Caenorhabditis elegans: one gene and its partner. The protein of the gene in region 1 purifies or fractionates together with the protein of each later gene. This does not show direct contact. Each region holds a gene or a part of one and is shown on either strand. Other genes may lie near its edges.

The links. Proteins that work in one complex are often made in the same cells at the same time.
Region 2: the proteins of dct-6 (region 1) and ufl-1 fractionate together in Caenorhabditis elegans (co-fractionation; one large-scale study listed by BioGRID). This does not show direct contact.

The regions. Positions count from the first base shown.
Region 1 is NC_003281.10:5,964,535-5,972,060, forward strand, and holds dct-6 (Protein dct-6), read left to right. Parts: upstream 1-1,878; 5' UTR 1,879-1,881; coding exon 1,882-1,922; intron 1,923-2,060; coding exon 2,061-2,149; intron 2,150-2,194; coding exon 2,195-2,481; intron 2,482-2,530; coding exon 2,531-2,628; intron 2,629-2,837; coding exon 2,838-3,183; intron 3,184-3,339; exon of another isoform or gene 3,340-3,498; intron 3,499-3,578; coding exon 3,579-4,081; intron 4,082-4,239; coding exon 4,240-4,362; intron 4,363-4,438; coding exon 4,439-4,462; intron 4,463-4,696; coding exon 4,697-4,784; intron 4,785-5,032; coding exon 5,033-5,378; intron 5,379-5,645; coding exon 5,646-5,896; intron 5,897-5,966; coding exon 5,967-6,255; intron 6,256-6,300; coding exon 6,301-6,416; intron 6,417-6,599; coding exon 6,600-6,770; 3' UTR 6,771-6,977; downstream 6,978-7,526. Other genes in the region: mlp-1 (Cysteine-rich protein 1), read right to left, coding at 7,189-7,246. UniProt on the Caenorhabditis elegans protein: May have a role in tumor suppression.
Region 2 is NC_003282.8:7,032,196-7,038,546, reverse strand, and holds ufl-1 (E3 UFM1-protein ligase 1 homolog), read left to right. Parts: upstream 1-1,687; coding exon 1,688-1,761; intron 1,762-1,956; coding exon 1,957-2,074; intron 2,075-2,075; exon of another isoform or gene 2,076-2,168; coding exon of another isoform or gene 2,169-2,303; intron 2,304-2,358; coding exon of another isoform or gene 2,359-2,418; exon of another isoform or gene 2,419-2,424; intron 2,425-2,916; coding exon 2,917-3,071; intron 3,072-3,226; coding exon 3,227-3,466; intron 3,467-3,515; coding exon 3,516-3,724; intron 3,725-3,769; coding exon 3,770-3,916; intron 3,917-3,972; coding exon 3,973-4,256; intron 4,257-4,297; coding exon 4,298-4,513; intron 4,514-4,559; coding exon 4,560-4,719; intron 4,720-4,770; coding exon 4,771-5,065; intron 5,066-5,346; coding exon 5,347-5,527; intron 5,528-5,576; coding exon 5,577-5,705; 3' UTR 5,706-5,851; downstream 5,852-6,351. Other genes in the region: cogc-2 (Conserved oligomeric Golgi complex subunit 2), read left to right, coding at 1-59, 106-509, 555-671, 719-967, 1,013-1,097, 1,195-1,464; C06G3.3 (uncharacterized protein), read right to left, coding at 2,169-2,303, 2,359-2,418; nabp-1 (OB domain-containing protein), read left to right, coding at 5,988-6,066, 6,116-6,175. UniProt on the Caenorhabditis elegans protein: E3 UFM1-protein ligase that mediates ufmylation of target proteins.

The sequences.
Region 1 (7,526 bases):
TCCATAATTTTTGCATCTCTTCTCGACACCCATCGTCTGCATCGAAAATCAATTGTGAACACGTCCATACACACGTGTCTGCGGGTCTCTGATCCTACTACTCTCTCCTCCCGTGCTTCGTGTTCTTCTTCCCGCCGGGAGCTCAAAAACGCCGCCGCCGCCGCTGTTCCTCTAACTCTCTTGCATCGACGGGTGCTTTTCGTTGTTTCTTATTGTTCTTGCTCATTACGTGTTTTGCCCCTCTTCTTCAATCGTTCCAAAGCCTAGACTCTCTCTTCTCTTTGTTCATCTCATTTTTTATTTTTGTTGCTGTTCCCGCAGTCTGTTATTGTTTCCAATATCTAGTGAAACTTGGCAGGCCAACCACAATAACATATTAATCTAAACTGAGTACTGTAGTTTCAGACTTTTAGCATTGTCTTGAAATTTCTTTAGTTTGGAGGAGTTTTGAACATTTAACTAGACTAGGCGTGGTGAGCAGGTACGTCTTCAAGCCTACGCTCCTGCCTACCGCCTATTTTCTGTTTTGAGTGTTAATATGTGTAAACTTACCTCCGTTTTAATTTTTGGAAATTGAAACAAAGCTATATTCAGATGTACTCCAGTAGGCAGGCCTAACGGCAGGAGGCTGATAGAAATTTGTTGTGTGTGTATTAAAAATAACCCGCCGCGAGCCACTTTCAAACTTATCTGTGTGATGTTCCCAATATATTGAAAAAATATCAATTTAAACTATTTCGAATATTGCGTTTGATTTGAAACAACTGGATAAAACAATCTCAAATTAAACATCTAATACCATGAATGAAAAATAATTCCTTTTGAACTAGTACATACACATTACTACACTCTATTATTTGTACAGCTTAACCATCAGGTATTGCTCGCTATCAAACAAACATTTGTTCGATTTTCGGAAATGGTTTACACATTCTTCTTCCAAATGGTTAACCTTGTAGAAGTACTTTGACAGAATTTTAATCTTTTCAATAGATCTTTCCAATTGAATTCTTTTTTGAAGATAACATCAACAATCAATTAGTTAGTTATGTCTTCATTATTGTAAACTTTATGTTGTTTGTCATATTTTGAACACATTTTGCAAAGTAGCCACGTTACTTAAAAATATTTGCAGCTCCTGAGTACTTCCAATTACATACCTCATCAATTGAGGCGCTCATTAAAACTTTTTGAAATCAATTTAAAAAAAAATTTCTCCTGAAAAACACCCTCGTAAAATCTTTCTGTACTGACAGATTTAAAAATTAAAATAATTATTTAAAAAAAAATTGAATTTGAGCAGTAGGGGAACGCTTTCATTAGGGTCAAGACATGTGCATGTAAGTTTGGGCCTACGTGTAGTGATTTTTTAAAAGAAACTTTTGCTATTGGAACTTGCAAGTTTGTTAAATTTGCCGCTACTTTTTTATGACTATTTAGTTGTTTGCCTATTAGAATATAAAAGTTGTTTAACTAAAAAAAACGGTAAACACTTATTCACACCAATTGATAAAACGAATGGGAGTGATATGTTGTCAGTGATAAGAATAGAATGTGTTCAGAGAGAGAAATGGTTGTACATTCAAACCTTCTTCACTTTTTGTTTCAGTTCTTCAAGTTTCCAAGTTTTCCCCATCGAAATTAGTCAGAAGCCAGACGATACACTTTTTGCATTCCTCACTGTATAAGTGTGTTATGTCCGTAACTGTTCCGATCACTCATCGTAATTCTTTTCGACACCATGTCTCTGGCGTATTATGTTGTAGTATTTAATATCCCACCGATTCTCTTATTCTCTTCGTTCATCAGAAACTAATTGCGTTGCTATTACTTTTCTCAAAACTTTATTACTAAAATCTAATATCTGCCATGATTCAGGGTATGATTGAATCTACAACTTCGCATCAAGATTTTCAACAACGGTGAGTTTATTAATTGAAAATAGTTTAACTAATTGAATATTTGAAATCTGATTCCAAGAATTACACAACCTACTTTAAAATAGAAATTTGTGATATGTCCTAGGATTTATTTCAATATAAGGTTAAATAATTGTACAGATCCATGACTGGGTATGCCCTGGAGCATCCATCGTACAGGATTAGAGGCGCACTTTTTAGGCATCAAGATGATGGGAGGCTTCTGTCAGGTACATTGAATTTCTATTAAAATCCAAATTTACCAAATAATCTAGGTTGCGGCGGAGACATTGAAGTAATTCATGCACTAGAACTGGAACGATCACAACATACATGTCTCCCTGTCAGAGTTACAAATGTCGTGGTGTTCGGATCAAATGACGTCGTCCGACTAATTCAACCAATTGAAGGAACCGAAGATGTCATTGTCAATGGAGACTACCACGTGTCAATTGTGCAATCTGTTGAATTATTCGAGAGTTCGACGGTTTCCAAGAGCAGAATTCTGAAACTACCTGGAAAGATTATTGCTGTAAATGCAGAGAAGCATTCAAACACTGAGGTTAGAAATAAGGGAATAAACAGTAAAAATGAGAAAGAAATATTTTCAGCTTCTTCTAGTATTTCTTCTAGAGACCGGCATCTTCCATTATTCATTTTGTGCTCATACATCAACACACTTTCAATGTATTCAAGCTTTCCGATGCAAGTGAGTTCTTAGAATTTTAAAAATTGTAAAGAGTATCTTTCGATCCTACAGTAACCTAGCGGCAACCGAATTTCTAAGCACTAACCTGATATCGAATTAATCTCATGCAATCTATGTACTATCCCTGAGATATCAGGGGCTTGTTGAAAATTTAATCTCACACATATCCAGGGACCAAGATTAATCTATTCAAATGCTAATTTTTTCAGTCGCCCAATTACCAGTGGACTTCTCTGGAGGGACTCGGGACTTCTCCACGTGGCATATTACGATGGTTTTGTACGGGTTGGAGTGGTTCATGAGCAGTACGATGATATGCTTCTAGTGAAGAGAGTCGCAGTGAATCGAAACAATTTAAGCGTTCTTTTGGATGTTGTTTTTGAAGAAATTGGAAGAATTCAAAAATTCGAGGATACTGAAAAACAACGGAGAGAAGATATGCTTACTACTTCAAAGAGTTTGTCTGATAAGTTAGTGGCAGAGGAAGAAGTTGTCGAAGGAGACACTACGAACGACGATTTTGCCAAATTGAAGATTGAGTTCAAGAATCAATCTGTAGGTTTTTAATTAATACTAAAATATTTATGAAACAATCCCAACTTTGCTTACAATCACTTTCTTGTTTTCAATCTCGAAAAATTGCAACACCATTTTTCGAACGGGTGACGTCATACTAATTTCGAAGTATGCAAAATGCGTGACGTCATGCTTCACAAAAAGAAGTTGCGATGTGTTGGAACAACGAACTACAAACCAAAAAATGAGGGAAAATGTCCCGTTCCCGTGAAAATTTGAAAAACGGGACAACGGGAATTCCCGTTCCCGTGAAAATTTGAAAAACGGGACAACGGGAATTCCCGTTCCCGGGAAATTTTTAAAAACGGGAAAACGGGAAAAACGGGAAACGGGAATTGACACCCTTGATTACAAATCACAAAGCATAATTTCAGATTCGCTGTGAACGGGTCTCACAACGTTTGACTTCTCTCCGAAAACTGATCACAATAATAAAATCCGCACTTGACATGAATGATCAAATTGAGCAAATGATTAGTCTTCTGGTGGATGAGCTGAGTGAGCTTGAGAAACTTGAACAGTTGTGCAAAGAAGTTGAAAGAACTGGAAATCAGAATCTTATTGGGAAAAGCTGGATTGCTGTGGAAGAGAAACAAATGGTAGTGGAAGAACTTATTGCAAAAGTGAATAGTGATCAAATCAAGAAACATTCGGATGTATGGGAACAGAAAATTGATCAGATAATCGATCAATTAAATGGTTGCTCAGAAGCAGCAAAGGATATGAGATTGATTATTAGTCAGAATATATTTGAGCATCGAGGTGACAAAAAGGATGTATTCACTCATTTTGTGTTGGATGCGCAGAGCCGAGATATCACTTTATATTGTCTTTCGGGTCTTACAACGATGGCCATTTATCCACGCAAGGGGAAACGGTAAGACTTTCAAATTATTTTGGAAAGTATCAAAGTGTGAAAAATTAATTAAAATTGCCACAATAAAAATAAAATAAATTCCGAAAACTATTTTTAAACTATACATAATGTAATTTTTTTTTTTCAAAGTTTACTCTAAAATTTTCCATAATTTTCAGAGTGGCCTCCATTTCTTTGGATGCATCATTTGCCACGTGTCTCACTGCGGCCTGTGCAATGAAATCCGCTGAAGGTGTCTACGTAGCAGATCAGAATAATGTTTTCCCGACGTATTTCTACAGGTAAAACTTGTTTCAGCAATTATAAAAACTAATTTTCTGCGCGCAAAATGAAAAAAACCCCAATTTAAAATTACAGAAACCGCCCAAAAGCTGGAAAAGGGTAGGAACGTACTATACTTGAACTAAACTTTTATCGCCAACTTTTCCCTCCACCCACTTCTATCATTCAGTTTACCTCCCATAAGCATGATTTTCCAGTATTTATTTTGTTTTATAATAAGTTTTCAAAGTTTCAAACAAACGCCAAAACATATCTTTTTAATTTTCATGATTTCCCAAACAATAATTTAACGCCTTATTTTCGAGCAACTAATATTATAGTTATATTTTTCAGAGAAAAGAGGTACTTGGATGCTGGAAATCAACTTCAACTTCCCACTTTCGACAGTATTTCTTCGATTCTCGTTGAACCACATCAAATGGTGAGCAATTTTTTGAGACTTGATTCCAAACTTTTTTACTGAAAACTTGGAATCTGGCAGCCTAGATCTCCATGATTGTGGTCTTATGGGAAAATTATCAATTCATAGCATAATTGTTGTCTAGTTTTGATAATTTTGAAATCTTGATACTGAAACATTTCTGAATACTTTTAAGTGAACCGAGAAGCTGACAAATGTGGCAACTTCCTAAAATTAGAAATACCAATTCCCATGAATGTTTTTCTCAGATTTTGGGAAGTGTAACTGGAGGTCTTCTACATTTATCATTTGATTTTGCATCAAATTATGAACATTTTGTTGTGGCAAGCAGTATTTTGGCTCATCCTATTTCGTCAGGATCCGTAAATTGTATCAAATTATTGGCAACTGGGGAATCCCTTCTAGCACTTCATTGCACTGACACAGAAATTGTTGTTTCGGAAAAAGATCAAGAGAGATGGCACAGAGTTACACACCATACAGGTGGTGCACATGCAATTGCAGTTACTCCATTTTCAGTTGATGAGAGAGGTGCATTTGCAGTTGTTGCAAGTGATACTTTTGTTCGATTGAAGGTTTTGCAGTATGCTGAAGGTTCGTTTTAAAGTTGATTTTTCATAGTTGATTTTTATTAAACTTTCCTTTTTTCTCATTAGAAGAAGCATATAAAAATTTGAAATCAACCATAAAACCGTTTAAACTTCAAAATCTACTAACAATAATTTTAAAAGTAAAAAGTAATCTTGTCGTTATTTTTGTTTTAAATAGCTGTTATTAATACTATGTTTAAATGTACTATGTATTATATCTGAAAAACCCTTTTCCATTTTATAAACGATCAAGTTGTACTTTTGATTCCAGAAAGCCTTATCGGTCTTCACGATCTTGGCGAATCACGAGCTGAAGATGAGAATGGACATCCGATAGAAGTACTAAATGTGTCTCTGGATCCAAGTATGCAGTACCGTCAACTTCCATGTAAACTTCGTTATGCTGTTGGATTTGCTGATAAGGCTATTCGAACATACGTGGCACTCCTCACTGGACAACACGATTTTAATGTTCAGGAGAAGTTCATCGCTCAAATTGAGCCTCTTTTTAATGTTCAAAATGTGGGTAATTCTTTTGAATTTTTGAGACATTTAGTCTTGATAATTAGGCAATTTTATTGTCAATTTTCAGATGATCTGCTTTCACGGTCGACCAATGGGATGCTATGTAAGTTGTGCTAAAACTCTTCAAATCTGGAATGATCTTGATCGTCATCAACAAAAGAAACTAAAAAGTGAAAGAATGCAATTATTGAAACTATCATCTTCGGTAACCTCAATGGAAAGAGCTGAAGGATATCTACTTCTTGGATTTGCTGATGATCGTCTTTCAATTTATGAAGAAAAAGGAAATGGAGCTGTTGATTTAGTGGGGACTGTTGATGATTGGCACAAGGGATTGAATGATAGAATTGTTATGAGTGAGAATTTAATGTAGAAATAAAATAAGAAAAAGTAATGTTCAGGTCTACGAACAAGAGCATCAAAGACTTCATGTGGCACAAGATTATTTATTCATTCATTGACAGCTCATCACATTGTTATTCATACAGTTCTTGTCACAGCCTCTAAAATTGAACAGGTTGGTTACTATTTTTAGAGAAATTATATTAATATCTATTTTGCAGTAAATACAAAATTCATGGTTAAAAAATATTTTTAAAACTTACGATTTGGAAGAAACGTTTTCATGCTAACTGATTTTATTTTATACGAAATTCATTTGAATATGTGTGTGTGTTTTCAAATTAAAAAAAAATTTCAGCACGACTTCATAGTTGCTCACGAACACTCAATGAGCCAGCCAATCGGATTCGAGTTTGTCTCATACAAGTATTTTGAATTTTTAGTTTACGGTCGTGGAATTTCCAACGAAAAACTTTCAATTGAAGATCGTAAGAGAATGGATAATTTCAGAGATTTTGAATTTAATTGAAAATTTAATTTAATTTCGCTCAATTACACAATTTCAGTTTTTAGCTTTTTTGGTTAATTTTTGCATTTTGCATCGGGTCATTGTGTGGGATCACAAACGTGTATTTAAGAAAATTCTAATCGCATTTTGAGTTCAGTTGTGATAATTTTCAGTGCCTTTTTTTAATTTTTTATTTGTTTTGTTTTTCTGAAATAAAATTATTATTTTTTGAAATTTTAACAATTTGAAGCTTAACAATATTTATTAGTAGGAACGAAAGTACCAGGGGTATTCAATTATTTGAAAATGTCATTATTAGAGTAATAATAATAATAATAATAGTAATAATTGAGAAATGTCCAATTAAAAAGTTGAAAATTTTAGCAATTGAGGAATATTATAGAAAATTGAATAAAAATTGAAAAGTGAAAGAGAAAGTTCAGCTATGGGAAGGATTGATTGGTGCGGTGAATGCCTCGGCTGTCATAGGACGATTGCTGAAATTTTGGAATTTTAATTTTAAATATTATCAGGAAATATGAAAATAAAACATTGTTACGGTATTAAAAACCTGAAAAGTTAGGTAATAATAAAAGTAAAACTTTGAGCGTTGATCATGATCATTTTAGTCGGTGTTTGTACAGTACTCAATACATCATATTTGTCGCCCAAAGTGATTTAAAGATCCTTTGAAATACCGTATTCTTGTTAATATTTTTCTTATTTCAAGACAAAAATGTTAGGATTGATGCAACGCCGGGTTAGTTGTTCGTTAGG
Region 2 (6,351 bases), on another chromosome or scaffold:
ACATCCGCCGTTTTCTGGACGAAACCCTTCTCACGTTCATTCTGACATTTATTGATAAGGTTTCCGTTCATAACTTTTTATATTCATAATTATTTGTATTTTCAGTGTATGGGAGCCGTCGCAGTCCCAAGTGACACACGACTTTTCCATGAATGTTTCTTGCTCACTCAAGAATTTATCGATAATTGGCCATCTTCTCATACCTGCCGTGCAATGCTTAAGTCGATCAGGGATAAATTCAATTTATTAGTTTATTTTAAATTAGAAACACATCGATTCGGAAAACAGTGCGATCAGCTGATGTCTCCCGAAATGTTTGCCGAGCCAGAAACTTCTGAAAATCGAGAAAACACTCCTCAGCTGCACTGCGGAGTTTCAAGAGCAATTATAACAGCAATTGAGCATGTGTGGAGTGATGATGTGTATCTTCCTCCTATTGTTGATAAATTATGGGATTTCACATTGAAGCTTTTGCTAAAGCATTTCTCGTGGAGTCAAACTATGAAAAAGTTAGATTAAAAGTTCTTCTTCACGAAAAATATTTTGTTTTCTAGTTATTTCATGGAAGAAAAAAGAGATTGGACTTCAATGGTTACTCTCCGCTCGGATACTGGAAATCTTCATCAATTGGTTTTCGATTTCGCGTTGGAGTCAATTTGGGGAAAATTTCAGTTCGTTTATTTAAATACTTACTTACATTTAGATATCATTTTTTCAGTGATATCACAGTGGATACCGCTCCATTCGGTCAATGCCTAACAAAGCATGGTCGATCAATTGATAGTCTTTGTGTTCAAATTGATGATAGTATTATTGAAATGTTCTCCGAAGTTCTTCATCAAGAAATTGCTCAAGTTTCCGATGTTCCTAAACAATACAGATGGACGAAGAAATCACCACCGACAACGCATTCCAAATATGTTGTTACAGCTATTGAAATGGTTGAGAATTTGAAAGAAAAACTATGGTAGTTTATATTGCTTCCACAAAATTTTGTACGTATTTTTTTCAGCTGCGAAGAACATCCTCACACCGATGAAATTGTTCGAAAAGTTAATCTTTCAGCATTCAATTATTTCGTGGGGAAAGGGAACGAGGTAACGTTTATTTTGGACACATGAGATAATTTTTTTTCCCGCTAAGTTTATAAACCACTCCAATTGATGCAAATTGCAACAAAATATTTGTTTTCAGGTGCTGGATAGTGTCGAAGCTACAGGATCTTCTTTATCCCGATTCAAACGGAAAACCACAACTGATTCTGGCTCCACGGTTACTGATGACGATAAAATCAAACAACAAATCTATCATGATGCTAAATATTTCCTGAGCTATGCGGAAAATCTTGTATTCTCACAAGCTGATCTCACCGGATTACAAGAAGTCGTCAATCGATTTGACAAAGATGCACGTTCGGCGATTGTACAAGAGAAAAATCAGAACGAAGAAGCGGGGAATGCTTGAATTAATTTTATGTGATTATTTATTTACATGTACATTTTATTTTAACAAATGGGTTGAAGTCTTTAAAATCGTCTATTGCCTTAATATGGGTTCATGGTATTGGAATAAAAAGTGTATAGCATCGTATTTGTGTTCACTTTCTTAAAAGTTCGGTTAAAAATCCATCGATTCATTTCTTTTTCTTTCTTTTTCATTTGATATATTAAAGTGGTAAATATTTCAGATGACTTCCTGGGCAGATATTCAGAAACTTGCATCAGATTTGCAGAGAGTTCAACTGTCACAATCATCTAAAAAGTGAGAAATATCATTGATTCTTGGCCATTTTATATATTTGATACTAAATGATAGCACATACACCATTTGCCCTAAAAACAACAAAAAATTAATAAGGTTTTAGTATCAAAAATTTAATTATTTATCTCATCTGTATTAACAATTTTTCACTAAAATTCTCAATTGTAGAATAATTTTAAAAAATTATTCTTTAAGGCTCTCCGAGGTGAATTGCATTGAAGTCCTTCAAAAACTTATCGCTTCTCATCGAATTGACGTGGTCTATACTAGAGATGGGCATAGTTATGTAACTAAAAACCACTTGGAAACTGAGGTGAGAGGGCAGAAATTTTTTATTCAAAAAAAAAAAATGAAAATAAAAGTAAAATATTGGTAGATGAGACCAATATGTAGTCGTTTCTTAAATTTCAGAACCCTGAATTTTTTCGAAAAATCTCATTATGAAATGGTATATTAAATGGAAGCCACCATTCTTTTTTGCCACGTGGAACTTCTTGGGGTGATGGAGAAACTGGAGAATTTGATGGTGACTCGTGTTGGCTCTGAAATTTCCTTTTTTTTAAAAGAATACTAACATTCCAAACAGCTTAGGCTCACTTGATCAGGTTTCTTTAATATAGACTTTGGCATTAGAATTGCGGGAGATGGATTGGGCATTGTTGAGTGTTTGAGAAAATAAAAATGTCTATCTATTCTTTCTTTTTTTTCTCACAAACTCCGCCTTTTTGTTGACCGCAATGAACTTTTATGTTTACACAAATGCAGAAATGTGAGTACAGAATAAACTGGAAGCAGCAAAACATGTGATCATGTTTTCATTTTGACAGCAGCCTTGGTTTTCGATTTGTTATTGAGGATAAATTTACGGTTAGGAATAAATATGAAAGAAGAACAATTAATTTTTATTATAAAGTATCACAGAAAAAAGTAGTTAAATAAATATTTGTAAGCAAAAATGTGTCATTTACGTTTTGAAAATCTGGAAAATATTATCTACACACGAATAATTACAGTAATCTTTAAAGGCGCGTTGCTCTTTGTGTATAAGATAATAATGTCGCTTCGAGACCGGCTACCGTATTTTGGCAGAATAATTGGAAAATTACACAGGCTGAATATTTTCCAAAGTTTCAAGTTCATCAATCCATTTTTCAGATAAAAAACGAGTGCATAGCCGCTGGAGGACGTGCTTCTCTCACTGATATCGCAGTTGCTCTTAACATAGATTTCGATCATATCGAGAAGACTTCGCGCTTGATTGTTTCGACTGATGATGAATTTACAATTTCGAATGCAGAGATATTCGCGACGTAGGTCAAGTTTATTCACGTGATTTAGATAGGCCTAAAGTTCGGAAAAGAACAAAGAAGAACACATTGACTTCATTATTGTTACGTGTCGATTGCAAATTGCAAATCGACAAAATCATTTGTTCATTGAACACTCAAAAAATATAAATTTTCAGTGAATACGTACATCGTCTTCGTAACGAATTGCGTACACTTCTCGATGAGCAAGGAAATCAAACAACTGCAGCACTCTGCAAGCACTGGAATCTATCATCGGAACTTTTGCAATCCTTGCTAATCGAAAAATTGGGATCTTCTGATTTTCAAGGAGTGGTTGATGGGGATACGATCTATACTTCTTCATTTTTGAATGCCAGACAATTGGTTCTACGCGCTATTCTGATTGCATTAACTAAGTGAGAATCTGTTTTCCATTGCCGTTCAAATAATGTTTTTTCCAAACAGAATCACTCCTATTTCAACTATCCAAAAACGAGTTGGTCTCACACCGAAACGATTTTGGATTGCGTTCGAAAATCTTCAATCTCTCGGCGAAATTCCTGGTACTTTAATCGGTTCTCGTACATCACCTTCCTGCTCGTATCGTCCAATGATGTACGATCATCTTGTGAAGTCGTGCGTTTTGAATCAATATAGACAGAATGAATTTTTAGGTATGATCATCTATTTGTTTATCTTTTAATTTCTTTAAATTCCAGAAATTTCAACTCTAAAAACTCTAGGAGTAGATGCAAAACCAGCTCTCGAAGAAGTTCTTGGATCATCTGAATTCAAAAAACTTGTCAGTATGAGATCTATGTTTATGACAAAAGAACTCATGGATCAATGTATTAATGCTGTTCAAGGTTTTTTGTTTAATTGTTTTGAATTTTATTACTTAATTGAATTTTTAAATTTTCAGAAGACTTACAAAAAAGCGGAATATCCGACGTGCATTTGGCTCTTCAATCTCTAAATCTTCCTCTAGATACTGCTGATGAGGATGAAATCGGGTCAAAAGTTGCAAATGTGGAAAAAGATTCGCATTTTGCAGAGGGTTTTGTGTTCAAGGGAGCAGTTTTGACTGAAGCTCTGCGTTCAATTGACAAATTGTTGGACGTCAGAGCACATGAGGAAGTTGATCGATTAGAAGCGGAGAAAAAGAAACAAGGCGGAGCCAAGGCAGCAGTGAAAGTTCAAGAAGAGGTATACAAATTGAATTGAAAAAAAACTATTTAATTTTTCAGACGGATGACTGGGGAGATGGAAAGAAAGGTGGAAAAGGAGGAAAGAAAAACGCAAAAAGTGTGAAAGGTGGTTCGAAATCGTCTGCTCCTTCAACTTCATCCAATTTGTCGGCGAATATTTCCATAAATAGTGAGGAACTGGAAATATGGCTTCGTGAAAGTCAATCAGTACCCGAAGAAATTCTTTCAGTAATTGTGGAAAAGTTGAATCAAGAGGTCCATCTCATGGATTCTTCAGAAATAAATAATTTTTATGTTTCAGACAACAACGCTACTTCGCAAAAAAGTTCAAGACATTCAAGCACATCAATTGGTTGCCAGCGTCGCTAATTCCAAAAAGTCATTGTCTGCAATCGGCGATAAGTGTAGACAACTTTACGATTCATTTAACACATTTGAGACGGCTACTTCCACTTTTGCTGGTAGAAAAAACTTTAAAACTGAATAGAAAAATAATTTATTTTGAATTTCAGATCCCCTTGGCTCAGATCTTCGGCAATATCTTCTGAAAACAGTTGGAAATGAAATTGCATTGGCGTTGCTTTCATATGTTATGGGAGTAGATAATGCACACCAATTGAAGGAAAAACAGCGAGAAGAAACAATTGAAAACCTTCCTGAAATGCTCAGAGATCCGATTCGATCAGTGTTTGCGTCGCTGAAATCTACAGATGATGATGCTTTGGATAAATTTCATGATGCTGTTTATAATTGTTCGGCTCCAAGTGCAACTTCGTTGGCACTGAAAAAAGTCGACAAGAAAGGAAGGTAAAATTATTTTCATAATTCTTTCCAAAAAATATCTAAAAATTATTTATAGTGAGTTAAAATTTTGGAAAAAAATAAGCTAAAATTTTAAATTTCAAAATTTGTCGCAGCTGCTGGAAACAGGGCTGAATTCGAATTTTTTGAAAAAAAAAGCGAAATACGAATAATTTTGCAATTTTTAAATATTATTGATCGAAATTGAAATTGTTTCACAATTTCAAGTATATTTTTTTTAGAAAAAAAGTGACATTTAAAATTTAAAAAAAAACAAATTTTTTCAGAGCCGAAGTTGGAGCTAAAATTACAGCGGAACTTCATGAGCAACTTTGTTCTCAAACGGAGCCAGCAACAACTCTTCTTCTGTCTGTTCTTTATATTTTAGCCAAGGCTGGACGCCCAACAACTGCCAGCGGAAAGTTTGTTTCTCAACTTGTTGCTCAAATTAAGGATTTATGCCCCGAGGTAATAGAATACTAAACATCTATATATCTATCAGAATATCTATTTCCAGAATGTCTTCGACCTACTTCAGGCATGCCAAAAAGGCGTAGTTACTTGCATCAAGAACAAGGGCGACGAAGTGGCCAAAGAAATGCTCGTTAATGATATTTCTAGTCTGAAACAGTCAATTATGCCATAATATCGAAATAATTCGTATAACTTGTTTAATTAATTTATTGAGAACTGAAATATGAATGTATTGCACGTGTTTTATTCTGTTAAAATTAAATCTGTAATTGTTTTTTTAGTCAGAAGGTAGCTTTCATAAACAGCCCAATTTCAATTACTTTTCAATAGATCGCAAATTTTGATGGTCGTTGTGCTCGGATCTCTTCTGCTGTAGATTTTGATTAATATTCACAGCAAAGTTTAATCCTCGAAAAACTTCATAACTCAATTTTTTTGAATTTATCTTCTTCAGATGTCCGGTGACATACCTCTCCACCAATTGCAGCCAAACATGAATTCGTTTTCGGTTACTGTAATTGTTCTAGATCCAGGTATCCTTTGATTTTCAGAAAGAATTTATAAAAATGAATAAATTTTAAGGGATTCATCGCAGAACACAGACGGGAACAATTATTTCAATGAAAGTGGCTGACGCATCGGGTAAGATCAGATAAACCGAAATTTAGCGATTTTTGCTCCAAAAAACGATTCGATTTTCAATCTCGGAACGACAATTTTTGTGGAGTTCGAAAAGGTATGCGCCTTTAAGCAGTACTGTAATTTAAATTTCCTTCGAATTTTCATAGTTTTTAGATAAAAATATATTTATTTATGGA